Linked DNA regions of Lepisosteus oculatus. The protein of the gene in region 1 purifies or fractionates together with the protein of each later gene. This does not show direct contact. Links are inferred from orthologs where the notes say so. Each region holds a gene or a part of one and is shown on either strand. Other genes may lie near its edges.

Region 1 (7,950 bases):
CCCCCCCACACACACACACACACTCCGCTGACCCCTGACCCCCCTGTCTGCCGCAGGAATGACCAACCCGGAGGTGATCCAGAACCTGGAGCGCGGCTACAGGATGCCGCAGCCCGACAATTGCCCCGAGGAGCTCTACAGCGTGATGAAGCGCTGCTGGCAGGAGAGCCCCGAGGACCGGCCCACCTTCGAGTACCTCAAGAGCGTGCTGGAGGACTTCTTCACGGCCACCGAGGCCCAGTACCAGCAGCAGCCCAGCTGAGCGCGCGGCGCGGCACCAGCCCAGCGCCTTCGGAACACCCCGGCCCGCGAGGCGCTTGGGTCTCTTTTGTTGTTTTGTTGTTTTTTTTTTCTTTTTTGAAATGTTCTGTGAAACGTTTTTTGCAGGGAGGAGAGACGGTAATCTAAGACTCATGTCCTAGAAAAGCCTTCCGCTTTTCCTACAGGTTTTGGGTGTACAGAGTTTCTGATTTCTATGTATCTTCGTTGCAACGCTTTGTTGCGCTTTTTTAACATTTTGTTGTTTTTTTCACTCCCGCCCGAAGGGAAATTGAAGGAAAAAACTTCATTCCCGTTTGTAAACCACAAGTTTTCACTGTCTCCAAAAGCGTTAGTGTTAATACTATCGCAGAGTATTTAGGATTACATTTACTTTTTTGTTTTTACTGGCATTTTTGATTATAGAAATATTCATATGTTGGATTACAGCTATACTGTTACCAACCTTTGTGCTTAGATGTCTCATGGTCTTGCTTTTTCTGTAACACATTGGCACATAATGCCTCTGTGTTTGTGTATCCAAATAATTATCAAATAAAATATTAGGAAATAAATGTCTCTGTGCAATAAACATATTTGTGACTGTACCAGGTGTCACTCGAACTGTTATGCAGAAACGGAGCTCGTTAAGAAACTACATAGGACAATATTTTCATCGGATTAATTTTTAAAAGAAGAAAACTTGTAGTTGGAATTGTAGAGACGTCAGTGCAATGAGAGTTGCTCACTGTTCAAAACATAGGAATAAAATGAGTTTCCGGAGAAGCAGTTAATTTCAGCGTATGTGGCACAGCACCAAACACATGGACCCTTAAGGCGCTGTCATTAATCATCACATAGGTACACCAAGACGTTCACTGAAGGGCCGACTGCTGTTTTTCTTATGTGCTTTCGAACACTAACAACAGCACGCTGTGATTTCACGTGGATCTGGAAGTAAAAGAACTCGGAGACGTTGTGTCAAGTATCTAGTCTGACCCCCACGTTGACACCACCAACCCACACAACCCCTTGGTCCCGATCTGCAGGGTCTAGACGGGTGTCAAGTCCACTTCAGTGAAAGGCGAGCTTTGCGACCCCGAGGACAAGACGTGGCCGCTCTGGGGAGTCACGTCACTATTGTAAGCGGCTGATGTTCTAGGTATATATGCTGTGCAGTCGTGGGGACGTACTTTTTCTCTCTAGAAGGCGGGCGCGTTACAGCCACTCACCAGACCGTTTCGGTAGCGCAACACCTGTCCGCCGCCGGCGGCTCCTTCTCACGATCATGTGCCGTTATAATGGAGAAGAATAAACGACGGAGGCAGAATACTCTTCCCTCGGAAGTACAAATCGATGACCTTAACTCCTCAGATCGCTTAAACGCTTACTCTCTCAGCAGCCCGCCTGAACCTCTCTTCTCGTTCCTGTGCCGTCACAACGACCTTTCACCCTCTCGCCTGTGAAACGCATCATTATTTTTAAAACTCAAAACTCTTAACATTTACTAAATTATGTTTTACACTAGATTATATGTTGCACTGTTTACAGCCTCATCTTGCATTGCATGATCTGTTGCGGTTTTAAGCAAGCTGGAGATACGTTGCTGATGAGATGACCAATGGCTATGTCAAAATGCTGCGGTAGAACCAGTATACCAATTGCAATAGAAATGCAGCAGTATTTATTATTAGAATTAGAAACATAGAGGTGTAAAAATACGTTTTAAGAGACGATGGGAGTGCCGATCGACTCTGAAGAGCTGACATGGGTTGGAAGATCATTCCACAGTCCTGGAGCAAAGGAGCTCAGTTTCCCAGAGTTATCCAGGAATTGGAGCCTTGTTTTGGAAACTAAAAGAAGGTCAGAGTCCGAGGAGCTCAAACGACTTACAGACGCAGCCAGGAGCTAAACCACTCAAGCCCCAAAAAGTAAGCAGCAGCATTTCAATTATCTTCAGAAATCGGCAGGGAGCCAGTGCGTGGAAGCTAAGGTCTGTATTTTAATTTTAATTCAGGGTCTGAACAGCTTCATTCTGAAGATATTACAGGTTGTTGAGAAAATGTTTGGATGCAGCAGAATGCACGACACTATAAACAAGTCTGGAAAAGACAACAGCGTGCATTAGCTGCTCTGTATCAGATCGAGAGAGATGCACACGAGGAAAGAGACACTTTCATAACATGAACTTCAGATGCGTCAAAGACGAATTCAGGTCTGCCGAACTGAGCACTTGAACGGGTTCCAGGACAGGTCAATGTGAAGCTGCTGCAGTGGTCGAGCCCATGAGGATGAGCCTATCAGCAAATTCTGAGGGCAGAGCTGTGGCTCTGTGGCTCGGGATCTGCGCCTGTGGCTGGAAGGTTTCTGGTTCATATCCCATGACTGGCAGAGGAATCCAGTGCTGTTTGGCCCCTGAGCAAGGCCCTTCACCCCAACTGCTCCAGGGGTGCTGTATAAAATGGCTGACCCTGCGCTCTGACCCCAAACTTCTCATGGAGAGCAAGCTGGGGTATGTGAAAAGACAAATTCCTAATAAAATAAATTGTATATGGCCAATAAAGTATTCTAAAACAAAACCTGTCAGAGTCCAGATAGTCACCCCATTTGCTCCTGCCCGACCTTGAGGCATCATCATAGGGTTGTTTATCTACATCACTTCTGTGAACGTTCCTCACCTTTTCTCCCTCATACACTGCTCTGGTACTTCCGCTCCTGTGCAGGATGTTGAGGCACCAGTAGCCTCTGTTCACAGCGGTTACGCGGAAGATTTATTATTGTAGTAGTAGTAGGAAGAAGACAAAGGGGCAGATGCAGAGCCAGTCAAATAAAAGCCCTTCTGAAGGAGAAGATGCTGAGTCTGGGTGTGAAAGGGCTCAGGGAAGGGGACTCTCTGACATCCTTGGGGACAGAATTCCAGAGCTTCAGGGCAAAGCAGGAGAAGGCCCTGTCACCCACAATATGTACACGGGCTTGGAAACGGACAGGAGACCAGAATTAAGACAAATAAAGGTTGCGAGGCGGGAAGGGGGAAGATGAGAAGTCAGACATTTCCTGAGGTGCCAAGCCGTGTAGAGTCGTATAGGTGAGCACGAGGATTTTGAAGTTGATATTGTGGTGCCCTCGCCTGGCTAAAGTGTGCGATGAAGGGCAGGACGGGAATAACAGCCAGGGCAGGGACTAGGGATTACACAACACCCTCTACCTCCAGGCAATGAGGCTGCTAAATAGCCAAGCAGCAGCTCCTTCAGCAGATCACCCGGAATGGCTACATGGACACACAGTTTTCATTGTATTCGGCATACTGCACTACTTTGATATAATGTACTGCATACACCCTGGGCACATCGCAGCTCTATTTATATATAATATCATAATTTATATTATATTTAATGCGATTTCTATTGCACTATTATAATGTAACCTTATTTTGTAACTTTAATTTTGTGATTTTTAAACCCTCCCCCCCCCCCAGTGAGCTCGTAGAAAAGACATTTCATTGCCAGCAACTACTGCTGCATGCTGTATTGTTGTGCATTTGATGAATAAACTTTGATTGATTGATTGATTGATTGATTGATAGGGGGCCTCGGGCCAGCGCCGCTGACCATCCGGAACGGCTGTACACTGTGTGAAATCACTGTAAAATAGTTATTCCCCAGTTCTGAACCCCTTTTATACCTGTGCCCACTGACCACCCTATAACTACCCACGTACCTGTACCTGAAATGACCCCCGTGTGGTGTAACCTGCTTTGTCGTGCTTTAGCTCTTGTGTGGTTGTTGCTGAACTGGACAGCCATTCGACTAACAAAGCGCTGACTGTTTGTGCTAAAAGAGCCTGAGTTCTCGTCTCCATCCTTGCCAAGCCCTTCGTGTTACAATATAGAGAGAAAATATTGTGGTCCAACATACGACACTGATTTTTTTTTTATCTAAACAGTTATTTAATTAGTAAAACATTAATTGAGATACACCCCAAGATTTAACCCAATAGCCTTCAGTCCAGAGTCTGGGGCCCAAATAGTAACCTCTTATTTAGATTAGTATACCACACATCAGGTGACTTTCCAAGCAATGCCATAGTGAAGCCAACAGAAAATTATTTGGAACTTTCATGTCACTCAAAAGTAATATTTAACAAGTGACACTGGGTATTTTGTGATATTACTAACCAGTCATTACAAACACCAGTTCCAAGCCTAAAAAATAAGGCTGGCTTTCTGCACGTAGCTACCTGGTTCATACCATGAACGTAGCGCAATGTAAAAACAGTATTAAGTGACCCCTTAAAACGAATTAGCGCCAAAAATATAAACTTATCTTATCATATAAATATTTTTAAATTTATTTTGGTCTAATTCGATTTTATTGTTACCCCTGCCGCCCTGGACACTAAACCACAATGGTACAGTCCTGAAGTAAAAATGAGATTTCCGAATATTGGACATTTTGAAACTGGGGCCATTTTGGATCCCACGGAGAACACCGCTTTAGGGTTGAACTGGACGGATAACCGGAGCCAAGATGGCGCTCAAAGAAACACAGTTTCATACCCTTGTTTATCTTCTGTAGAGGGGCGGATAACCCATTCGCCTGCGAAGGACGCGATTGGACAAAAGGGGGAAAGACGGCCGCCCGCTACGGTCCGAGCTAGTCTCTGATTGGCTCCAGCGGTGTCAATCCAGGTTCCCGGTTGTGGCTAGGGCTGCGTAGCGCCCGGTAGACAGGCCGTGGCTGTGTCTGGAGGTAAAATGGCGCTGACTCAAGGAACAAAGAAAAAAGTTTGTTATTATTATGACGGTAAGGGTAAAGTTTAAGTTGTATTTTCCTAAAACCCGGCCGGCGTAACGTGCACGCACGGAGATATTCGCCGGGAGGGCTGCGTTTATCGTCTCTTTTAAAGCCTTTTTTTGGGGGGAGGAGGAGGGGGGGGTGAGTCCGCCGGCCAAGCGCTCATAGAGCCATGCAGCATCTCGTACCCCCTCCTTCCCGCAGTAAGAGGGCTGCCGGGCAACGTAGTTAAAATCATGGCCAGGATAAGTTGAAGCGGGGTCTAAATTTGAATTATCGATGCACAGTGGTCTCCGGCGGCTTTTCCAGCGTTTGCATGCTGGTTTTCTTCCCCCCCAGTCCCGCGTCATACTGGCCATCATAATAATCCCGAAGTCGCCCGTCTCCCCCCGGCGACCGGGTTACCTGAGTCGGTAAAAAGACGGGCTGCTGCGTCCCTTTTATTTATTTATTTTTACCGCCCCGGAGGGGTCGACATGCCGCACACCCGGGGAGTGAAAAAAGAGGCTTAATTATTGATGCTGTGCGGGGTTTTTTTTGTTTTGTTTTTTGTTTTTTCCCCGGCGGTGGATGCAGCCGCTGTGAATCGATTTGCAGCGGGGCGGCGGGATGCGTCAAGGCGGGGGAGCGAGGTCTTCCTCTCCCTTGTGCTCGTTTGACACCAGCCCCCCCCCCCCCCTCTAGACAGGGCTGAAGTGGCCCCTCCATCAGGCATCTCCCCGCCGGAGAGGGGCTCCTGCGTGGGCTCGCTGTGTGGGGGCGCCTTGCCCCCTCGGCCCTGTCGCCCGGTGTGGCTTGACACGCACGGACCGCCATGGGTGGACTCGCTCCTCCGAGCCTGTAATAGTCATGCCAGGGCAGCTGGCCTTGCAACCACCGAGCAACAGCAAGTTGCTTAAATCGTTCCTTTAGTTTCTCCAAAGATGCACCTTTTTTTTTATCTCGGGAGGTTGGTTCGTTTTTATGGCAATAATACAGAACATGCACAATGAGAGGGGCAGTAAAGTCTGTAGGAGCAGAGGGGTGAAGATCAGAGCCAGTTCAGAAAAAGGCTCTTCTGAAGAAGCAGGTTTTTAGCAGTTTGCTGAGGGGTGTAAGAGAACAAAAAAACGATCAGTAAAATCTTCAGGCAGCAGTCTGGTTAGGATCCATCGCATTAATAAACACGCAAAGATTGTGGTATGTACCTTGTGTTGCTTATAACTATTCCTGATACTAACCCAGCACCTTTTTGGAGGGTGCACCTATCTTTTTAAGAGCAGTGTTTTGCCTTTCTTTGAGCACAGATGATAAGTGTACACAGAGGTGGTAGTTTGATGTCCTCTGAGGGTTTAGCTTGTGTCATATGTACGATCGTGGTGCTGACTGTAAAACTTGTGGCGCTTGGTTAATTCTGAACGTTGCCATAAAATGTAGGTTTTGGTCCAGTGGAGTTCATCGTGGATACATTATAAACGAAGGCCGATCTGCCCATCTAGTCCTTTCTCTGGTTGGTAGCTAATTGATCCAATGTCCTTATTCAGCTGTTTCTTGAAAGAAACCAGGGTTTCGGCATCAGCAGTATGACTTGGTAGCTTGTTGTGCACTCCCACAACTCTTGATGTAAAGTAAGACAGCCTCCTATCTGAGTTTGCTATGCACTTCCGCGTGTGACCTCTGGGTGGTGTTTCACTGCTCATTTTGAAGATGTCCTTTAGGATGATGGTGTCAGTGCCTTTGAGTATATTCAGCCTTTGATTCGAGTACAGTAGTGTTCTCTGTTCAAGACAGGTTTTTTTTATCGTCATGTATTCATTTGTGGTAGTGCTCTAAGCTCGTAAAACTTTATTTGTGGTTTTAATTACTGTTCTCAGTGTATGGTCTGTAACGTTTTCTGGTCCTCCAACATACCAGTGTTCATCTCCTAGATCGTTTCAAAGTAGATACATTTGTTTGACTGGCACATTGTTGAGGAATCTGGATTTTGAAGATGAATGCTTTTGTTTATGTTGCTGTTGGTTTCGCGAATGCCAAAGCAATTCTAATGCAGCTCCTTCCCATCTTCCCTGCCCTCGTAGGGGATGTTGGGAACTATTACTACGGTCAGGGTCACCCCATGAAGCCACACCGAATCCGGATGACCCACAACTTGCTCCTGAACTATGGGCTGTACAGGAAGATGGAAATTTATGTAAGTACGAGAGTGTTTCTCTCTCTCTCTTTTACTCTCAGGATAATGTTGCTGCATGCATTAGTAACTTATAAACCCTGTCCCGTCCCTGTTCCAGTTGTGCCAGTTGTGTGTTTATTTAGGGTTTCTGTTTGTGCTCCGGTAATGAGATAGGAATAAATAATATGGTGAAGTATTAAAATATTTGCCAAACAGACCTCAAACTACAGGGTTTTCGAGGGAGCAAATTGTAGTGGCTGTCCATGATGCCTTGTTAAAAGAGTAAATAATCTGGTACTGTTGTCATGTTCAAGCATTCATAGTGTTCCCATGATGCCTCTTTAGGTTTAGTTATTTGTTATGTTCAATATTCATCATGTGTATCTTTTTCACTCACTGATGACCATCAATGTTCCTCAGTTGCGAGAGTTTCATAAAGTTTCAGACTTGGTATTTAATCTTATGTATGTTTTTTTTTTATTTCTTAATGGACTAAATGTAACACAAAGAGTACCTCCTTTTATTTGGCAGGAAAGCACGTTTCCCATCTGGGACACCGAAGGAAGTAAGGGAAGGCTGTTGACATGGATGGGCTGCAAGGGTCCTGGTCCCAGGACGACCCTGTCGGGATTTTGGGAAGTGCGGCTTCTTTCCGTGTGTTCACGTTCCCGTTCCCCTGTCTCCTTAGCGTCCGCACAAGGCGAACGCCGAGGAGATGACCAAGTACCACAGCGACGACTACATCAAGTT
Region 2 (7,313 bases), on another chromosome or scaffold:
GAGGCACCCATCGGGGCTTCTCACAATCAAATCTAATACAAAAGCCGGTCGCAGAACGAAATCGCTTCATCTGAATGCTAAAATTGTTATTAGGGTACATTAGGAGGAAGCCACGCACGTGATTGGAAAAATCCTTGCAATTTGTGATTGAAATAGAACCTATTAGTTGTTGATTGGATAGCAACAAAGTTAAGTGCTCTTTTATGGCCCTGATTAAGAAACGGAATTTGAGCCACAGGACCGTATTATCGTTCATAATAGTTTTTTTTAATTTTTCAGCTTTAACATCATATGGTTGCCATTGGGTATTAATTCTTGTAGGCTAATCCTTCCCTTAAAGTAGACAAATTATGAGTCAATTCCAATACCTTAAGCTCCTCTGTCGTTTAAAACGGCGTTAAAAGGTAAACGCCTTAAATTAACGATGGCACAGTGTTTTATTAATCTTAGAGAATCGTTATATGATTATATAATAAATCAAGTAAACACAGGATTGTGTAATGCATAATGAATCAGGACAACACGTTTTTGAAACAACAAATGGATTGATTGCCTCAGGTACATTATCGTATGTATAATATCAAACTATTACATGTAGTGTTAAAATGCATCAGGCTGGGCAAGCTGGTGTCACCTCACAGATGCAGGTAAGATTAAACAGACCACTTCAGTAAGTTGCTTGGTAGATGTCAACCTTAATTTCTTGATGCATATATATATGGAAAATAATCTAATGCTTGTTCTATTTTTACCCCTATATGTAACTCTTAGGTGTCTGTACACCTTCAATAAAAACAGTACATTGCACATAAAAACAACACACACACACAATTTACATAATCAACTTGACAGAGTCTAGTTCATTGTTTGGAGGAATGTGCAATGACACCTGAAATGCATTGATTATGTTTATTGTCAACTTCATAAATTAATACAATTCTTGATCTTTAACCATTTCCCATTTCATTCCTTTAAAGTAGGGACACCCCTTTGAGCTTGTCAACACAAACACTTTCTGAAAGTTGCATTGTTCTTTACAAAATCAGCAATAAAGCTGTAATCTGTCGCAATATAATCTCACTGCCTATTAAAAAGCAAAAGCACCTTTTCACATCAAATCACCCGGGCAATTGTTTCCGTTTGGGAAATTACAGAACTACAGGCAACAAATGTCTGACAATTTTATGGAAACCAGATTGACCCTTGGAGTCCCTAACTAGCAATCTGTCCAATTCCTAAATACTAGAAGTTAAAAGCGTGACAAAAATCAAGAGTAGTCAAAAGCTTAAATTTAGAGGATGGGGGGTGGGACTCATACGGTATATGCTACTGAAGTTAAAGTGAAAAAGAAATGCCACTTTTAGAAAAATATTACCAGACTGCATCCGGGTATCTTCTTCACTGTCACAACAGACTTGTGCACAAATGTCATGACAAAACACAAAGGCAATACTTCAGTAATTGAATCCGTGACGGGTATAAGACAAATCCTATACCAGAACAATTAATTTGTATAAATCTGAAGAGTTGTCTGGTCTCTGTGGAATATAACTCAGTTGTCATTTCAGACTGTTTTGCAGTTAAGAACCCCAAAAAAACCCATTAGGTGTTCAAAGAGCTTAAAGAGAATATATCTGGTGTTTGCATGGCATTTAGCTTTTCTGTAACCTCTAGATGAAAGTTGTTTCACGAAGAAAGGCACTGCATTTTAAATTAAATTATGTTACTAAACACCCCATCAAATCCAGTTTGTCTATATGAAATACCTAACATGAAATGTATGTGGGCCCTCTTTTTATGAACACAAAGGGTTAAAGGGAGATGCATTACCAGCATACCAAACGTTTACGTACAATTTTATTTAAGGACTCTATGAGAGATAAGTTTATTAGATATTCATTATTCATACCAGTAATGCCCTTTAAGTGTTGCAGCATATATTTTACTCAATATTCATCACACACTCACATAAAGAATACATAAAATCAGAAATATATCGATTAGCTATAGACTTTTACTGAGATGTATTATATATTAGAAAGACGTTGCACTCTCGTTAACATTGCGCCCATGCAATAAATCAACATAACACGACCGTTTTCTGCAAAAAATGATCAACACCCACTTTAAATTGCTACTAAGTTTCTTAAGTGTTTCTTATATAAAGTATGACTAAACGCAAGAGCTGTGTGGTCAAGTATGTCATATCTACTTATATATTATAATAAAGGATTATTATTAATTATGCTTCAGCCCATGTTTAACGCACATTACCAAGTTAAACGTTAAATACACTAAAACATTGAATCACATTTAATTAACAAATAGTGGGTATATACTGTATATATAAAACAGGTTAGTATAAGCACGATCGTTTGGTCAGATAGAACTGCCTTACAAACCCTCTGCAACATTTCAAAGAAAGAATATTGCATTTTTGCAGAAAAGTAACCTTAACTCAAGTGTACGTATTAAATTAAGTTAAGCACTCATATTTACAGTATGTTTAGGGACCTCCGATAAGCGTAAGATATTAACACTTTAGCCTAGACAGCAGGACTCAACTAGCATATACTGTTTATACATAAAAACTAGTCAGTGTCCCATTTACTTTAATTTAAAAATAAAGAATAATTTCATACCACATCGAAATGAGTTCTTGGCAGCTGCAAGACATTACATGCTTGATTTAAGGGGACACAGAACCCCTTTTAGAAAGAATAGCCTGCACCGATATTTAAGTAGGTCGTTTTCTCTGAAACTGTTCTAAAAGCTGTTCTTAAAACCCTCTAGATTAGGCTTTCTCATTTCTGAGATTTCGTATCGTATGTTTCGTACATGTTTATTAATATCAGCCTGCTTTGTAGCCCGTATTTTGCAAGAAGGCTCATATTCAGGTAGCTTTTCCTGACACCGAGACGTTAATACTCCCTTTGAAACCGCCAGTACGAACCAGGTCTACGCGCAATCTTACTCTTTACTCAGTAGACTACGTTCTCATTTTTAATATTCGTAGACGGCATTTACAACTTTCCCCGTCGTATCCCCATAACACATATTTATATACTCTCCTATCTTCATAATCTCCAAACTTTAGCTTTCCATATTCATAAATCTTCAAAAAGAAACCCAGGACTTGTTTGACAAATACCGGTAAATAAACTAACCTTGACCGGCAAATATTTTCCCCCACTGCTGAGATTTTTCTCCGATGCTCAACTTCCTCTCCGATCCTTTCTTTCTCTATTTTCCCATTCATTTTTACCCCATCCCCTTTGTATCCTGTCTCAGAATCCGCGTCTAGCTCACGTTTTCATTCCACTTCGCTCTTGTGATTCACTTGTGCAGCCGCTAGTCTTAGTACTTTTTATTAGTTTGCATGGCTATTTCTCCTACCCACTTCATACACAGTTCATGTCATCGCTTTTGTTTTCTGCCTGGTGTCTCTTCTAGTATAAGCTGTCATTATTTAGTCTCCGCTCTTTGGGAGGCGTTTTGTTCTTTTCCTAAATCGATTTCCGCGAGTGTCTGTGTTTTTCTCTCCCCCTTTTCGTCTCCCAGCCCTTTGTTGGAACATACTCATCGACCCACCGCAGATCTTTTTGGACATTTGCATCCTCTCCCAATTTTCGTTCACAGCCCACCTTTACCTGCTTTAACCCCTATTGCATCACATGTTTATTTCAAACTTAGTTCGTTCACTCCCCCACCGTCGCCGTGTGTCAGACTTTACACTTCGGTTTAAAAAAAAAAAAGAAGCCGCTTAATTTCTTAACCCTCTTTTGATCTTTGCTGTTTTTTTTTCTACTCCTAGTCCTCCTTTACTTTTACCCTGCTGCGAAACCTGTCTGTCCCATACAGACAACCTGCTAATAATATCTTAAGTTCTGTTTCGTTTCTTAGCTCAGTGGTCGCTGTGCTCCTTGGCTACTGACACACACGAGGTGGTCTAGCTGTGTGACCACGAACTTATTTTTCACTGTGTTTCCGTGCCCAGATCCCTGATCAATGTCCACTGCGACAGCTTACATTAGACGGGGTTTTTTTTTTCCCTTCACTGCCATATGTCCAGCCCCCTGATCCCTTGTCCATTGGCTTTTCTTGGTCTATTTTTTTCACGTCCAGCCCCCTGATCAATGCCCACTGCTTTCACTAGACAGCTTTTTTTTTCCCTCTTGTGCCTCTTGTCCGGCCCCCTTGATCTCTCTGTCCATTGGCTTCTCCGGGTCTATTTTTCATGTCCAGCCCCTAATGAGTGTCCATTGGTTTTGTTATTTCCATTCCCTCCTCCTACTCTCTGTCTTTGCCCTGCCCATGTTTTGTATGTCTGTGTCCATCCATCTCCTGACGTTCAAGTTCGCAGGGACGTCACGTCCGCACTTGAACTTGCAGCTCAGGGGGGCTTTTGCCATTTTTTTTCATCTCTCTCTCTCTTTTCAAAAAAGCCATGACGGCTATCCCACAATCCATCTTCCCTGCGCCATCTTTGTATTATTTCTAATTTATTTTGGATGTCAAAGGCATTGATGAAGATATTTTCTCTGGAGTCTCCTTTCTAACCCGGCTCTCCCGATGTGAACCGAGCTCAAAGCCACCACCAAGCACCATGTCTCGCCGTAAGCAAGGCAAACCCCAGCACTTAAGCAAACGGGAATTTTCGCGTAAGTAGAACAAAATTGTAATTTACACCCTTTTCTTCACTTTTTCCAGCAACAGTCTTTAATTTCCTGCAGTAAAGAAGAGAAACAGTGACCAGGAGCAAAAATCTTGGTGAAGGTGGTGCTGGACATTGGACACCGAAGATCGCGGTCAAGTGGACTTCACAAAAAAAAGCGTGGCGAGATTTCTTTTGCACCCAGAAATGCCAATACGAAATGCGGTTTTCTTAAAACTTAAGCAGAAAAAAAGTTTTTATTTTTTTGCATTCAGCTTTTTGAATCCGGAGCACTTTTACAATAAGATTTTCTAGCGTGCTTAAGATATGCCTTTCGTACCCCTTGTGCTTAAGCCGCTAAAGGGCATAGGGTAGGAAGGCGATTGTAATAGGTATGCATGCTTTATCATATTTATTATTTCTAGTGGAAGCCCCTGTAACACTGTCTGTTTACTGCCTGGAGAGGATTTCCCTCCTCTCGTACTATTTTTTGGAAGATTTTCAAAAAAGTGGAAGTGGATTTTGATTGGGAAAAATCTCGTGTCTGACTGTTTACAAGCACCGCGTGTGCGGAACCTCCTGCCAACAACATCGAAAGGGGAAAAAAAAAGAGTAATATTCGCTTAATTTTCTTTCGAAAGCTGCGTAGACCGCTGTCAAACGGATGGATTTGTAATCTAAAAGCTTTATGTGCACTACTTGAGAAAGATTGCTCTTAGATTCGACTCTAGTTGTTTTAGGGGACGGCTTTATAAAGAGGAACAGGAACCCCGGCTTACTCTTCTTTTCGATTAAATATTTTCCCCCTTTTTACACATAGATTTTTGGATCGACTGTTATGTTTATTTTACTTTAACGTAAAAGGGAAACTCGCAAGGTAAGGTAAAATAAAATGTATGCATGCGAGTCAGAACAGTTGAGTTGCCTCTTTCTGTTTTCGTTTCTGCTTTTCATAGATGCAAAAAGTAATCATTTTGCAGACTTGCGCGGCGTATATAGCACATTATCGTCTGGGCTCTGCATGTGTTCAGGGATATTTAAGTTCGCCACGTTTGTTTTTGCGTGTGGATACGTTTTTTAAAGCTTTATTGGAAACGAAGGCGACACACTGTTTAAAACCGTCCAACATTTGGCAAACGCAGTAAGCAAGCGTATTTGGGACCCCGAGAGATCGGAATTCGCGATTGAATGAATGAAATGTTATGTTTTACATCTTTATTCACAAAGATCTGTAAACCTTGCGTTTTAACGACTCGAATCTTGCGAGAACGATTCCGTAATGTTCCTTGTTCAAGACACATTAGTGTTAAAGCGAGCCGTTTGTCTAAGTTGCATTGAAGTATTGCTTTGTGTGACGGTTCTGTCGCTAGGAGGCAGAAGATGATCATAAACTGGAAATGAACTTGAACCTGATCAATTTCACCGCCACCTCAATCTACATATCCTGACGATATGTTTGGAATAAAAAGGAAATACATAATACGCAGGTTATAGCTTCTTTTTTCCCACCCACTTTATATCTTATTTTAAGTAAATTAAACTCGTATAAATGACGAGACACCGTCGATCATTCAAATGATTTCTAATTTACTGGATATCTTTTTTTTTTTTACTTTTGGTACCCTTTCACAATCATGAAAATGAAAAGGAGCTTTAATTTAGTAATTGAAAGCCACGCGTATTTTCAACATTTTCTGTAACGCATCAACTTATAAATAATAAGCTTTAGTATGCACAGAGGTTTCAGGCATTAAGACTCTCCATTTAAGGTTAGTATTTTATGATTTATTATTGTTGTCCACCTCGTTCATTACATACCTTAGCTCGTAAGCATTTTTCTGTACTTTGAGTTTAATACGTGTATGAAACTTACGTATTTTTTACACTTATTATATAGAATAATATACTATTATATTGAGAGTATTCTAATTTTCGTTTGAAGACAGGAAATCAAAATGGAAAAACTATAAAATGTCCTTGTGTGGCGTGTTTCCTTTAGATCCACGTGTTTCAGTATTAAATCATCAGGAAAGTCGTATTACCTCCTCTCTTAAGATATTCAGGGGAGCTAAGGCTAAGAAATTTATGTGGAATTTAGGTGGAATTTATTATACAGTTGTATAGTTTTTAATTAAAAAAAATTTCAGGCATGCAAACTAACAATGAAATGTTCAAAAGGTAATTTTAAATGAAGCCCTTTTAATTGTGTGCAGGTTTTGTGTCTTTCCTATATTTCTAGCAACGAAGATCCAGTTCCTCACAGCAAGCTACTTTGTTGAAAGTATTCTGAATCAAAGCAACATTTTCGCTTGTTACGTTAGAAGTAATCGCAAGACGTTTTCAAAAACACGTGAAATCAGTGAACTGTAAAAATGTATGCTCAATATTAGTAAAATATGGAGCAAAAACACAATGTTGCTATCCAGTTTTCCTGGATTTCATTATTTCTGCCACTTTTAATAAATATTTTAAGTATACATTAAATTGTTTGACAAAGGCTACTGAGTGTATTCTTGGAGACAGTTGTTTTTAAAAGAAAATACAATGATAAAACAGTTTTGTCCTGTTAGAGAGATTGTTTTTATATACATGGTGGGCAGGCAAAAAACTTTCAAAAAATGTTTCCCCCGAGTAATGTAAACATAAGAAAGTGGCAGAA
Region 3 (7,732 bases), on another chromosome or scaffold:
GTCTAGGGTGGACGCTAGCCTACACACAGACTCCTGCTGCCCCATGACCCTGAATTAGATGAAGCAGTTAGAAGATGGACGAATTGATGGTTTTGACTAGAATCAGTTGACTAATAACAATTAAAATAAACAGATTCAGTTTAATGAATCAGGTCTCAGGGTGGACAGTTGCCAGAAGACTGAGTGATTCCTGACTCTGGTAACTGATCAGTTCTCACATAATCTATCTCTTCTCTGGCACACTGCGCGATATCTAGTGATCTCTGTGCAGATACACTCATCATACATAAGCTGATACAAAGTGTTTCAGAATAAATCTCTTACCAACATCCACAGCTTTATGAAGCCAGCTGGTAACTGCAGAAAAGATCAAAGCATCACCATGTGTATGAATTAATGAATTAAGTGCAACAAACACTTATTTCTAAAAAGACATTTTAAAAATAAGAAGTAAAAAGGCTGGACTTACATTGGGTCGTAACTAGACAGGAAGAGAAGTAAAAACTGAGTCAGAAATGTTGGTAATGAATGATTATGATTTCTGAACATATTTAGTTTTATCTGTACTTACAGCGGACTTGCTCATTTACAATGGTTTCTTCAGCAATTTTAGCTAAAAGAAAAAATAGATATTTTAAAGATCAGTAGTTCATAATAGAACTTATAATTTTCTAGAAAAGCATTAGAGCCAGTGACAATGTTCTGAAAAAGGAAATTAGCACCCACAGGTAATGACACTGAATTAACAAGGCTTCACATTAGGTTAATGGCGATCTGCTTGTAGACGCTGCACTCAGACTGACAACACTCTTTGAGGTTGCTTTGCTTCTGACCTGTTATGGACAGCTCATATTCACACATACAGTATACAATTTTTACAGGAAATGTAGGCTTCCGAAAGGTGTTATGCTGGATCTTTCCTAAAGAAGTCCTGAACAATGCTCTTTTTTAGAAATATGCAACCATTTTGCCTCTAAACTCTCATTAGATGCTTCTTTTGTTCCACTTATCCTACAGGGTATTTTGTTTCATGTGACACTCAGTGGAAGGCAAAGACCAGTGGAAAGTAAGGAAAGGGTCCTGTCAGATCGACCCAACTTACCCAGGTCTTTGGTTTTGTCGTTTTTATTAGTGGGATTCAAAACACCCTGTGGATCTGGAAAGGGAATACCAATTGTTAGATGATTTACATGACATAATTCTCATGGCAACAAGCTGGCTTCTTTAAGAAATGGCTGGATGAGACTGCGTCCTGTTCAGGACTCTCTCCACGTGTCACTGTGCTGGGGAGGAGTAGCCCTGAGTGACAGAGAGGTGTTTACAGGGCTGTGGAACGCAAGGAGTATCCTGCTCTTACTGGAGAGGGCTCCTAATGATCGTAATTAGTATAATGACAGTGTGTGGATCATGGAGAGGGACAACTGCTCAAGAATAAACACGTCTGTCAGGTATTTTCACAGAGTATTGCTAGAGCACGATTTGCTCTTTTTTATTTTCCTCTGACCAGTCAAGTTCACATTAGAGAAAAGCATAAATGAGAATATTAAATGTCTAAGTATGTCTGCACCTGTATACTCACACATACTGTTGTCTGGAGACAAATCTCTTTGAATAAATTAAACAGACAGAAAGCAAAAACTCGCAATCTTCTGTGACCAAAGAGCTGGCAACGGTGTAATTTAGATAAATTAATTCAATAATTAAGTAATCTAGGTCATTAAGATCTCTGGCATGGTGAAAACCATAATTCCCTGTGGATGTCTAGAAGAAACAGGGAATATATCTGATATAAACCGTCAGATGCTTGAGCCAGGATGCAGGAGAAACTGTACCCATATCAGAAAGCGTTGTCTCGACCCAGAAAGGGTGTCTCCAGATCTGGTCCTGGAATGTCACACTCCAGCGTTTTTTTACTTTTAGGATTCTTAAACCACATCAGCAGCTTCAGACCTGTTGCAGGAGAGTTAAACTGGACCAATTATGCCTCATGTTAGCTAACTCTTTTCAAAGTCTTGTGCTATGGATAATTGAAGGAGACCTACAGAATATGGGAAACCTGTGAAACAAAATGCTTAGAGCTCACCTAGTGCTCTTGCAATTTCCTTGACGGCCTTTGATACCTTTGTCTTGCTCTTTGACTTGTGTCGGCTGCTTCCTTTGCGCTTTGCCTCTGGAGAGAGAGGGTGATGCAGGTGGGAGAGGGGAGTCCTTTATCAGTGCCTCAGTGCGTGCACTAACTAAATGCACTCTCATGAGGAAAAATGCACTACATGCTAACTGCAGTACACACACACTCAATGGTTAATAAAAAATAAAAAAAAACAGAGTTTTACGACAGGAAATTGATTCCAGTTGTCAGATTACGTATACGCATACCTTAGCGTTGTGCAACAACCTGAAACTTTCAGGTACCATAAATAATATTATTGCAAAACATACACCATTCTAATCTGCAAGCGACCAGAATATAGAATACAACTTTTTGTATAAAAATGCAAATGTTGAGAAACACCCAAGCAAACAAAAAAAATTAGCTTTATTTTTTGCTAATGTTCTAATGAAGGATTCTGCTATGACTGTGCTTATTCAGTTTAATTATTTGAAAGAAGGGACTGGGCTTTTAAAATGCGTCTAATCTGCCCACTAACTATAAACAGACGAATCACTCAGCTCAGGCGACCTCAGCCTGGTCTGCCAACTGCAGTGTCCTACCTGCATCCCAGAGCAGCAGAGCAATCACCAGGAGCAACAGAACCAGTCTTCTCATTGTGCCCAGGTGACAGACCGAGCTCTCTGTATGGTTGTCAGTCTCTTGCTCTCTCTCCTCTCTCCCTTTCCCCCTTCTGTCTGCGTATTTATACATTCTCACCTCTCCTGTGTCCCTCCCAGGCTTCCCAGCAGCAAAGACTAAAATTACAGACCCCGGGTTTGAAGGCACAGAGAAATGAAGGCTTGCTTCCATCTACAGCATCAGATTAGTTCTAAGCACCCTACAATTTCCCCAGGATTCCAGAAAAGGCAACATTCTGCATAATTCATTAGCGCTTTCTGAACTCACTAACCTGGTTAAGTCAGAGTTCTAGCAGCACAAAACAGAACATTGTGTGTATGGGTTGTATTTCTGCACAACCAGCCTCTAACACTATCACTGTGCAAATCCCTCATTACTATCACTCACTTATCACAATCACTGCGCAAACCCTTTCTCACTGTCATTCACTTATCATGATCACTGTGCAAAATCCTCATCACTATCATTCTGCCTTTGCACCTGCAGCAGTTTTCTACAAAGCAGAGGTGGGGACAGCAGTGAACCTTTTAACAAGCCAAGCATCCCAGCGGTTTCTGTGCTCAGTTCACACAAGTGCATCCTCTACCCGCTTAAAGGACATCAGTACTCTTAACTTTGCATGCCAGGCAAAAAGTCAATCTTCAAGCCAGATACAGAGTTCAATGCTTTTGAGAATGCAGCTGATGAGGACTGCATTCTCACAACCTAACTCACAAGGATCTTTTTTAAGCGCTGTATTTGTTTGGATGTTTTTAAAAACAAATCAAGGACATCAATGAGCCCTGCCTGTGAGATCAGATAAGATCACTTTATTAGCCATATACAATTTCTTGCATTAGGAATGTGTCTTTTTGCAGACCCCAGCTTGCTCTCCATGAGACACACAGACAGGGAGAGAAGCTGGGGGTCAGAGCGCAGGGTCAGCCATTTATACGGCGCCCCTGGAGCAGTTGGGGTTAAGGGCCTTGCTCAGGGGCCCAACGGAGTAGGATTCCTCTGCCAGTCGTGGGATATGAACCAGCAACCTTCCAGCCACAGACACAGAGCCACCGCTCCGCCCCTGTAAGTTTCCTTCCTGCCCCCCCTTGCTGAAGGTATGGTGCCTACTCTTCGGTGCCTTCACCACCAATAGTGGTTAATTTGAGGTTACCAGGGTAGGAAATTACAGCTGTTAAAGATGTGTCTATGGAAAATACACATTAAAACTGAAACCGTGTTATTAAAACAATCTGTAGTGTTACTTCCTCGGTGTGTTTATGACAGAAACAGCGACGATCCACAATCCTGCTTCCCTCCTCGGACAGGGTCTGCTCAGGCCGCCTGGTGATAGAGCTCATCCTGGGACAGAACGTGGCGATCCAGGCGTCGGAGTGGAGAGAATTTTCCAGGTGTTTATTTGCAGTCGAGATGTAGCGGTGTGTGTGCGTGCCTCTTTATTAGATCATTTCTGGGTTGCCTCCACTGAACCTACGTCAGGTAGAATAAATAAGAGCAAAATAGGTTCTTATTAACTATTTTTGCTATTTTGCTGAAGTTGATGCAGGAGGCAGAGGGCTAAATTCTCCTGGGTGTCAAACCAGGGAAGGTCAGAGAAACAGGAAGATGACCAAATACATGCCTCATTCACTGACCTCCAGCAGGAATTCAGGTAAATGAGAAATGCAGAGATGCCGTGAAATAATCTTGCGTTCTGTAATACTCTGTAGCTATCATGCTGCGATGGCGCCTACGCATTGTAAAACGTCCGGCTTTGGAGGAGGTACACCGGGCAGCCACACTCAATGAAGAGCTTAGTCTGGGTCGCACTCCGCAGGCGTGGAAACCTCACTGGGGTGGGGGCTGTGTGTCGTACGCATGCGCGCCAGCAGACACGGTGGAGGGGGGGGGGGGGAGAAGGAGGAAGTAGGCTGGGCGAGCATGCGCACTGGCACACCGGTAGCTGGAAGCGGCCTGGCAGGACGTTGAATTTTAGGGAGAAAATTTTTTTTTTTTACAAAAAGCCGAAGCGCCTGAGTCAGGTCATCGACGGGGGTGGGTAAAGAGGAGAGAAGGTAGATTTGGAGTGCGGACTTTCCGAACCGTAGCCGGATCACACAGTATTTGAAACGAAAAACACGTCGAGACATCCATGTAAGTATGACTATTGTGTTATGACACGGTGGAGTCCACGTTAGGATAAGGTCAGCGTTTGCTTTTGGTTTCTCCGAGACACACTCGCCCCGTGTTTTCTGAAAGTGGGCCATTCGCAGTGCACGACTGTATAATATATCAGATCTGCACAGTTACGGGTACAGTTACAAAACCTCGGTGCACTGCCGTCATCCGCCGTTTTGCCGGTCATAGTAAAGACCTCAGACACGCCGCTGGCACGTTTTATCCGGACCAACGCTGGCCGGGCTCGGCGGCACTGGCACTTCGTTCGCCGGTGTTACATCTGCACCGACGGAATCGGCCGTATCGCATTTAGCGGAGAAAGTCCGGTGCTTGTTGCTCCAGCCGGATTTCTGTTCTCGCATGTCATGTACCGGGGGGTGGCTGGCTGTACCCCTGGAGCGCTACCAGGTGTTGGGGGTGACATTTCAGCCGGTCTCTGAACTCACCGCCTGCTCCGGCGGCCGGAGCGCAGCAGTCCCCCAGTGTGTAGCAATTGGGGGGGTTTAAGGAAATGACCTACAAAACTGGCCGGGTTGTTTTTCTCTCTCTCTCTCCGAGAAACAACCTCCTGACACATGCTGTCATTATATGGGGTGTCCCTTTCTGTTCCAGTCATGGAAAACAACAACAACAACAACAACTCATCTCAAGCCACCAATCTGCTGCAAAGCCTTCAGTATCTTTCAGTTGCTGGGCTGGGCTGTGCGTCCCAGTGCGTGTAGGTTTCCCAGTGTGTCGTGATGCAGCTCGTTCTCCCCAGCGCGCAGGCCGAAGACGCCGTGTTCCGGTGGCAGAGGTGTGGCAAAACACTGGAGGTGACACGAACCTCTCGGCTGATACGAGCTCCTGTGATATCGGCTGACAGCGAGCGGCAGGAGAAGGTCGGGGAGACCCCGGGGGGGGGGTCTCGCGAGCGCGTTCGCACCCAGGGTAGAACCCCGTGACGTCAGAGATCCGTCGTCACACGTCGTGATAATCAGATGAGCCCTTGGCGTTGAAGGCCGCCGTCCACCTGCACGTTCATAAATGCTCACTTAAAGTCCCCTTAAAATTAAAAGTCCCAGTTAGCTCCGGTAATACTAATCAGTGCTGGGGTATGTTATAAGCAGAAGCGTTAACAGATCCACTGTAAACACTGTCAGGGCGGGTCACTGGGTAAGGCTGTTTACTCTACCCGCTGGTAGACTGCTGGCAAAGAGTCCGCTTGTGTTTTTCGGGCACATCGGGAGGAGTCTCAGACAGCTCCCAGGCAGGTCTGAGACCAGGGGGTTCGATTTGCTGGTGAGCCTGCTGGTGCTCAGCGGTGAAGGGGAGGCCTTCCACTGTGACTAGAAGCACGTGGCTTTTTACATTTGTTTTCTGAAACCTGGCGCTCCAGGAGTGCAGGACCAGCAGTGTTTCCCCTTCTGAGCATTTAACACCGAGAACAGGAGGGGCTTCTTTACACCGCAGGGTGGTGGGAGTGGGGAACAAGCAGCTGTTGACCATGCTGTTGAAGACAGTACCCTGGTTTCTTCCTAGAAACAGCTGCACGAGGTCCTCGGGTCCTTCAGCTACCGCCAGAGGGGCTAGATGGGTCCAAGGCACTAACGATCCCAGCCCGAACCCCGGCTGTGACCCTTGCCCTCTCTGCAGTCGTTAGCTCCAGCCAGGACAAGCGGCCACTCTGCGGGGGCTTGCAGGAGCTGGGATGATGGGATATCCCTGCGCGTCTCTCTCTTTCCCTCTGGGCTGCCCCGCCAGAGAAGCAGGGACTAACCTCTGGGCCCCTGTCTGTGTGCAGACGCCAGGATGAGCTCGGGAAGGGACAACGTGCGGCTGAAGAGCTACAAGAACAAGTCCCTGAACCCCGAGGAGATGAGGAGGAGGAGGGAGGAGGAAGGCCTGCAGCTCCGGAAACAGAAGAAAGACGAACAGGTGGGCCTGTAACCGGGGGCTGCGGGGGGCCACCCGAAAAATGCGCAGCTCAGCGCTGCCTTCGGTTTACTCTCAGGGGCTGTCAGTTATAGCCTGTAACCTGCTGCAGTTAGGTTAGCCCACTGGGCTAGATGGGGTAAAGAGCCTCCTCTTCTGTTCTTCAGGGACAAATCTGAATTAGCAGCTGTTCACTAGAAGCCTGCAAGCATAGTTACTCTGTTCTTGCGGTTGGATATGGCCCCTTGTAGAAAACCGCATGCAGAATATCAGTGGCTGTTTGGTGCTGGACTGGTGTGTGTGGTCAGTGCTGGTATGTGGTCAGTACTGGTGCTGGGCTGGTGTGTGTGGTCAGTACTGGTGCTGGGCTGGTGTGGGTGGTCAGTAGTGGTGCTGGGCTGATGTGTGTGGTCAGTAACTGGTGCTGTGATGGTGTGTGGACAGTGCTGGTGCTGGGCTGGTGTGTGTGGTCAGTGCTGGTATGTGGTCAGTAATGGTGCTGGGCTGGTGTGTGTGGTCAGTGCTGGTATGTGGTCAGTAGTGGTGCTGGGCTGATGCGTGTGGTCAGTAACTGGTGCTGTGATGGTGTGTGGTCAGTACTGGTGCTGGGCTGGTGTGTGTGGTCAGTACTGGTGCTGGGCTGGTGTGTGTGGTCAGTACTGGTGCTGGACTGGTGTGTGTAGTCAGTGCTGCTGTGTGGTTGGTGCTGGACTGGTGTGTGTGGTCAGTGCTGCTGTGTGGTCAGTACTGGTGCTGGACTGGTGTGTGTGGTCAGTACTGGTGCTGGACTGGTGTGTGTAGTCAGTGCTGCTGTGTGGTTGGTGCTGGACTGGTGTGTGTGGTCAGTGCTGCTGTGTGGTTGGTGCTGGACTG
Region 4 (7,215 bases), on another chromosome or scaffold:
CCCAAACTAAGTGACAGCAGGAAATCCAACCTGCACATTCCAGTGCAGCCAGTGAGGACAGACAGGAGACCTGGGGCCTGGATTACATTAATCAATTATTGCATAAGAGAATGCTTCTTCACAGAGGCCATTTGACAGGCAATTAGGGAAGGGAGAGGATACACAGTTCCAGTCATGCCATTTCGATAGGGAATCCAAACTGTTGCATATGCGACAAGACATTCAATGTGTTGTTTTGCTAATGCACTGGGGAGGAGAGATTCCCCCTGAGGCAGATCTCTGACTTTCTTCCCAGGTTTACTAGTGAATGTGGAATTGGGCTTAAAAATAGTCCATGCAAGTATTTTACACTCAGAATAGGCTGGCAATTGACTCTCCCTGTTAATGTAACACTTCAACTCCAGTATTTATGACACATATTTTGCTATGCAGTCCATCCATCCAGACTTGCAGTGAAATGATAGAAGAAATTTGTAGCCTGGAACTGAGTGGAGGGACTCAGATCTGGGAATTGGACTTGTCAGCGTGTCTAACTCAAACCAGGAAATTCCCAGAGCACCATCTTTCTTGAAAACACAACCAAGGACACCCCTCTGGACTGACAACAAGTATAACATCCAAGACAGAGTTTCTGCCATATAATAGTGTCAACTATTATTGACTGTGTTAATAGCCTTCTCATTGTCCGTAGTGGAGCCCTCAAGAAAAACATTGTGTAATGGCACTGTGATTTAAAAATAGAAGAAAAACAGGCATGGGACATTTACATACAGTAGTATTTCATCCGAACTGCTGTCTGGAGATTCCTTCATGGAGACTCATAAATACCATGCACTCTCTTTATTTCTGCTTGAATCCATTTATTACACTAACCACTGAGATATTTTGTTCCACATTATTGTTTAGGAAGCCAGTCAGCTGAGGTCAGGCCTTTATTTAAGGCTTACATAAACCTCTTGATGCTCTGACATAAAGATGAGCTTCACACAAGAAGAAGCTTTAACTGCTCTTCAGAATGAGAGAACGGCGATTTTCCCCTCGTGTTCGCCTCGCGTCTGACTTGGATGACAGCAGACTGCATGCAGAGTGGGCTCAGGCCCATGTTTTAAGACAGCTGAAGGTTCTGGAATGGAGAGGAGGGCAAAATACTGAAATCTTTGTTAAAAATACCAAATTGCTGTCATCTGCTGCTGTATGTTTTGATTTATCCAGACCTCTTTAAAACCGGAGAGTGCAAATGTCCTCTACAGTTCACATGGTAAGTTCATGGAAAAGATTCACAAGCCTGCTTCCCTGAACCGTCAGTAGCCACTAAGATGTGGAGGATCTGATTTTTAATTCCCTTGTCTTATCTTCTATTGGGACTGTCATATATTTTATATAGTATAGTGGTTAAGCAGACTCATCTGATATGGATTTGAGGCAATTTTTGGAACCACAAAAAGGCAGCAGCCATTGCAGTTCTTTAGTGACAACATAATACATCTGACGTCTCTAGAATTCGATTGGAAAATCGGTGAGATTAATAATGCAGTAGTGTGTGTAAGACTTTGAGACCCTGTGTCCACAAGGGAAGAATCCCTCAAGTTGGAGCACTGAGGATGTGGTAGGCAGATGTGCGGCTTGTTGTTTCAGAGCAAGCACAGAAATATGTCTGTTAAAACAGCAAATGTTTCACGATTATTCCGTTGGACTGATGTTGCAGTCTAATCCTAGGCCTGGAGCCCATCTTTCCTGTTTTGAATGCGTTCAGGGACGGAGAAAATCTTAGTCTGGCAGCAGCTGATTCGTCTCATCGGTGGTTTGCTTTCTGAAGAATTTGACACTTGAATGTTTGAAGCCAGCCAAGGATGATGAACCACAAAAAATTAAAATCCAGTACGAATTACATTACAGTTCTGTTTTGGACATTTCAGCCAAAGGAACAGTAGCCTGACACACAAAGCCGTAAACACGGCCATTATAGTGTAAATACGTTTTAGACACAAGTATATGAACTAGAATAATCTGGTTTGCGTTTGTGATGGCTAAGGTGCTGCAGGTACAGGGGAAATCAAATGCCTTTCGATTCATTAATAAATCACAGGGCCTTGTGACAAACTTCCACATCTGGGTCTGACAGTTAATGAGGGCCTCAGTCTGTGTGCTCCTGAAAAGGATATAGACATCAAATGTGAGAATCCCAAGGGCAACATTATAATAAGAGTGGCATGTACTTTTAGCTTAAACTCCCACTGAATGCTTTTTTATCTAAATTAGACCTGTAGACGCTGATGGTGATGACTTCAGACGCAGATAGCATTAAAAAGAAGTGCCCTGAGAGATATTTTGACAGGAACTGTGCTTCATATCTGGTTATTAAAATCTGAGTTGTAAGAAACTGCCACGGAGACTCCTTTCCTCTTAGTTTCACTAGCGGACTGTATATTGTTTTGTTAGCATTCTCCTGTTACTTCTCCGGAGTAATTAAATGTGTTTGGTTAAACAGTCGCCCTTATAATGTACGATTTATAAATGGGAAAAGAAGGCCCCTTGCGTGTCAATACAAGCAGCAATCGTACATGTACAACCGAGTCAAAATGAACTACACTGCTCACGCCAAACTGGAAGGGAAACGCGAGTACAGTGCAAAGAAAATGAAACAGAATCTGGCTTCGTGTTGCCTTGAGTTCCCAGATAGGTTTATTTTTGCTCTAGGTTTCACAAACCACAAACGAATCACGCTATATTTTATACACTGTTTGAAACTTGCGGGGATATATAGCGAATTGTTAACTGTAGAGGAATGTATATATATATATCTCTCTCATCGCAGTGTGAGCCTGGGAAGCAGTGAGAAATGAAAGGTGCGTCCGAAAACAGTTTTCGAGATGAATTGGAGATTCTAGATCTCCACCGTTTGAACCGTTTGATCGACGCTTCCTCGGTTCCGCGTTTGAAACAGTCAGGTCCGTTCGGCTGTCCAAGTCACAAGCTGAACCGTTGGTAAGTGTCGTGAACTACGTGTCGTTTTTAGTACAGCAAGGGCTACTACATAACAATTATTCTGTACTTTTAAATTTGGTTCATACCGGTTCTAGTGGGCCTGTACGTTTTTCTAGGCTGGTGAGATACGCCTTCTTTATAAAATCCATTTTTATACACGCCACTCGATGTAGTTTTATAACCCAATCCTTGCCTTTTGACTGAAGAAAACTGTGCAAATTAATTTACCTGATTAGCTCTAAACCCATTAAAACATTAATATAATATATACTGTTATATACCCCAGTTATATATAAACGGGTTGTATGCAATGTGTAAAATGGTAGTATTGAGCATTTAAATTTACTTTATTCAACAATAATAAATGTTTTTAATATAATGGGTACATAACATTCAATGAAAACAAGCAGTGGACGCTTGGGTTTTGTGTTGTTGAAATAAAAAATACAAAATGCAACTTTAACAGTTTACCTTGAGACGTAGTTCCGTATTTCAAAAATACCAATAAGTGTATTAATGTTGAGGCTTAGATTTTTGTCTTTGTATACTTTCATTATTCGTAAACTCAGCAGTTTTCAATGTATTTTTGTGAGTTTACTTGTTTCTGGCTATATCTTATAATGCAAAGGAACAAGTAACAGGTTTATTCCATGCTGAAAAAAAAGACAATGTTTCGGCCGTGGAGCCTTCTTCGGAAGAAGGCTCCACGGCCGAAACGTTGTGTTTTCTTTCTTCTTTTTTTCAGCAGGGAATAAACCTGTTACTTGTTCCTTTGCAGACTACGCATGCTGACGCAGCTACCCACCTGAACTGCTATATCTTATAATGTCAAGTTGTATCAGGTTCAACAAAAAGTGCAAGTTTTTTATGTACATAAATTAGTCCCGGGGTTACGTATGCTATGCTTTTGTATTTATAGCTCCTCACATTTGCCTTGTGTAACACGTAATATTCGTAATACTGTACTACTTTATTCGGTATAATACATTTACCAACAGTTGTAAAAATGTTGAACGCTTAGGAAATGGAAAACTCGCATTTAGTACTGCTTCTGTTACGATTTAAAAACCATCCATGAACACACCGGCTTCATTAATGAGAACACATGGGTTTTATCAAATGCAAGTGACTGGCGAGCTGAGTAAAACTCGCCAGTCCACAACTGGAGAGAGTCCAGTTCCGGTTCTTAGCGACGGTCCTCGTGGTCGCGGTCCAGTCCGTGCGGAGTCCGTGCCTGAGCTTGCGTGCGCCTCGTTCTGCTTGTTGGTTACATTGTATCAATCTCCCAGCATTGAAAGATACAAACAGCCATCAAGATATATTAGAGATACAGAGAAACAGAATCGGGGGATTTTAAACTGGTGCGAAAACCGGCAGAAAACTGGATTTTACTTCCCGGGACCGGAGGAGACGTTATATAACTCGAATCGGGCTCGCGATCGACCCTAAAAATGCCCGTTTTAGCCGGTATTTTTCAGTTTTGAACGGGATTCAACGTGTGATGGCAGCAGTCCAGTGAACTGGCCTTTCCTTCCCCTGCTGTTGGATTTCTTGGGAGTTCTATTGATTTATTTTGTCTGTTTATTTTGAATAAATCGGTGTTCCTCGCATTTTTCCCACCCCCCCCCCCTCCCCGACCCCCAACTTTCTGGATCTATGGAGTGTACTTAAATATTCGTGGGATCGGGGTGCTCAAGTGGGTAAGTGCTGGAATTTTTCGGGTCTTTTTTTCTTAATGCGGGAGGTATTCACAACTGCATGCTTGCCGAAAGCCCTTTGTCTGGGAGACTCCAACAGTGGATTTTTATCCTTAACTCCGAATTACAGCAGATTCCTTAACCTTTTCTCCCCACCCAATACGGCTGCCGACTAAAACAGAACGACGGCTCAGGAAGTGTGTTTTTCTTTCTTTCTGGGGATTGGAGAAATAAACAATTTAATTTCACGCTCGTCTCCCAAGCCATCCAGCATGAAGTACTGATTTAGAATCACCAGCGGTCTTTCTGAAATTAATATGTAATTGCATGTGCGTTCGCTCTGAACTGTTTCACGTAACCATGTAGAATAAAGCTGTCTTTGAAGGCATTACTTACACCTTTTCAGAATGGCATATTTAGTGAGAAAAGTACATAGATTGGGTAGAGCACACCGAGAGGGCTTTGTGTTTTTAAACCATTTCGAATCACAGGAGTTTCCTGTTTCTATCAAGGGTTTTGAGTCTCAAAGCCCAGCGCTTCTTAGATAATCAAATTTTAGTTTTACAGAGCGGGATAGTCCCCAGAGGTGTAATTTTATCTACTCTGTAATCATGTTCGGCCTTTTCATTAGGCTCTTGCGCCGATGTGCATTTATGGCACACTAGTCGGGGGTTCATTCTTTTGTACAGGAAAAACGCGGTCATTTCTCACATTTGAAATTATTCACAGGAGGTTTCGTCCTCCTCCCCCCTCACTTTTCCTTTGCAAAGAGTCTTCTTCAGCGTCGCTAAAAAGCTCAACGACAAGAATCCAGAGATTTGCGAATTGCATCTGGGGCCTGTGCCTAATGTTTAACCTCGTTGGTCACACACTGGTGGGCATGTTCCGGAGGCGTTTGCAGCAGCGCAGTGCACAATGGACACTGTCTACATGATGTGCCCAGATTATGTGCTTGAACTGGCGTCGGCAACCCTGGCGCAGTTTTCATCCGAGGGGTCTCTTGGTTTTCTTGGTGTGTGAAATTGTACCTCACCTTTCTCGAAAGCGAAAGTAAACTTAAAAAAAATATGTATATTGCAACGGTTTATATGTTTGAGGCCTTGATTGTAATTACATTTAGCACGTATGAATCCACCATGTGATACTTGAGTGTAAGAGAGCCAGTTGGGGACCGTAAAAAGTGATTATAGGACTCGGCACAATTTATTGAGAAAAAACGTAGTTATTACTGCTGTTTTTACTTAAAATCCTAAAATGGATGTATGTTTTCTAGTGAAGTGGTTGGTTTTATGTGCTAAGTGGTCGATTATCAAACGGTTGTCCATTGAGGACAGTTGTAACTGCATCTCCACAAAAATGTAAAATATAATAATTCGACAAAGACCAAGTTATAAATCCCCAATTCCTGTTTTGGTGTTGAATTTTGTAATAAGACTATAAATCTAGTTTCTAAAAGTGTGAATGAGTGAAGAATGACTTTGAGAACATACCCACATTATTTTAATTTGCCTGGAGTCATCCAGTAAGCTTTTAATTTGGTCAAAGTGAAATGGAATGTGAATTGGGGACGATTCAGGAAGGGTTTATTAAGTGTATGATGCTGTTTTGTCAGTGTTCGAATTGAATGGAGTTCCCTTGTTAATTATTTTAATAAGAAAGCCTTCAGTACTTTCCCATATTTCTATAATGTTGTTATTGTGTCAGGTATTAGTATATGCTTGACACAAGTATATATCTTAAGTATTACGTTCGGTTGCATTGGGAAGGATGATGTGCTAGCACAGAATTAATATTTAAGGCATTTTAAACACCCCCAGTTAACAGAAGTGTCCTATTGCTCTCTGTTGAAAGCCACACTCTGATATAAAATCATAATTGATGTATTCAAGACCATAGATCTGCTGATTAAAATGGTTGGAGAGAAGGGATTATCCTTAAACAGTTTAATTTAAGGAAAGGTCCCACTGCACTGTTCCCAAGAGCAGGGTTCTAATCCTAGTGCAGTGGCTGTATTCCACTTGGTCCTGAACAATATGACCTCCCTAAATGTCCCCTGTGGTTCAGTTGATGTAATTTCTCACTTCTGCTCTATGCTGTGAGGGCATAATGGCTGCCAGAAGGCCAGCAGGTGAGTGCTCAGTTCAGTGGATGATGTGGGTCACCCCCATGTCTGAAGCACTTTGAGGTCCTTTGAAATCTGAAGCGCTGTGTAAATGCTGGGCATAGCCAGACCCTTTGAGAATTGTCTGTTTATATTACACATCTTTGGTATTGAAGGCCTATATCTTTAACAGATTCTCCCTGTCAACCTGTATTTTTTCTTGCCCATTGGGTTTAAGTCCCAACAGAAAATGTGTACTTTGTTCAGAAATGTCTAGTTTTGTCTTATTGGTTGTCATATAGCTGCTGCCTGACGGTTTGACTTCTATGGTCACTTAAGAAGATGTATGATGAAATAGTTAACTACAGTGGTTTCCTCTTGTGCTGTACATATGTTTGCATTTTACATGTTAGACTTTACATAGACTTTGTC

Evidence for each region.
Region 2: the proteins of hdac1 (region 1) and bcl11aa purify together in Homo sapiens (affinity purification with mass spectrometry; 5 studies listed by BioGRID and IntAct, counting the BioPlex papers as one, with this or other methods). This does not show direct contact. The link is inferred for Lepisosteus oculatus from reciprocal best matches to the Homo sapiens genes HDAC1 and BCL11A.
Region 3: the proteins of hdac1 (region 1) and kpna1 purify together in Homo sapiens (affinity purification with mass spectrometry; 3 studies listed by BioGRID and IntAct, with this or other methods). This does not show direct contact. The link is inferred for Lepisosteus oculatus from reciprocal best matches to the Homo sapiens genes HDAC1 and KPNA1.
Region 4: the proteins of hdac1 (region 1) and zinc finger protein 609 purify together in Homo sapiens (co-immunoprecipitation; 4 studies listed by BioGRID and IntAct, with this or other methods). This does not show direct contact. The link is inferred for Lepisosteus oculatus from reciprocal best matches to the Homo sapiens genes HDAC1 and ZNF609.

What each region holds. Positions count from the first base shown.
Region 1 is NC_090706.1:3,430,499-3,438,448, forward strand, and holds the start of hdac1 (histone deacetylase 1), read left to right. Parts: upstream 1-4,948; 5' UTR 4,949-5,011; coding exon 5,012-5,060; intron 5,061-7,108; coding exon 7,109-7,221; intron 7,222-7,888; coding exon 7,889-7,950. Other genes in the region: tyrosine-protein kinase Lck, read left to right, coding at 57-262. UniProt on the Homo sapiens protein: Histone deacetylase that catalyzes the deacetylation of lysine residues on the N-terminal part of the core histones (H2A, H2B, H3 and H4).
Region 2 is NC_090712.1:9,969,517-9,976,829, forward strand, and holds the start of bcl11aa (BCL11 transcription factor A a), read left to right. Parts: upstream 1-4,309; 5' UTR 4,310-4,606; coding exon 4,607-4,661; intron 4,662-5,136; exon of another isoform or gene 5,137-5,266; intron 5,267-5,297; exon of another isoform or gene 5,298-5,531; intron 5,532-5,987; exon of another isoform or gene 5,988-6,423; intron 6,424-7,313. UniProt on the Homo sapiens protein: Transcription factor. Associated with the BAF SWI/SNF chromatin remodeling complex. Binds to the 5'-TGACCA-3' sequence motif in regulatory regions of target genes, including a distal promoter of the HBG1 hemoglobin subunit gamma-1 gene.
Region 3 is NC_090700.1:4,265,995-4,273,726, reverse strand, and holds the start of kpna1 (importin subunit alpha-5), read left to right. Parts: upstream 1-4,728; 5' UTR 4,729-4,921; intron 4,922-6,728; 5' UTR 6,729-6,736; coding exon 6,737-6,862; intron 6,863-7,732. UniProt on the Homo sapiens protein: Functions in nuclear protein import as an adapter protein for nuclear receptor KPNB1. Binds specifically and directly to substrates containing either a simple or bipartite NLS motif.
Region 4 is NC_090700.1:60,139,110-60,146,324, reverse strand, and holds the start of zinc finger protein 609, read left to right. Parts: upstream 1-4,210; 5' UTR 4,211-4,685; intron 4,686-7,215. UniProt on the Homo sapiens protein: Transcription factor, which activates RAG1, and possibly RAG2, transcription. Through the regulation of RAG1/2 expression, may regulate thymocyte maturation.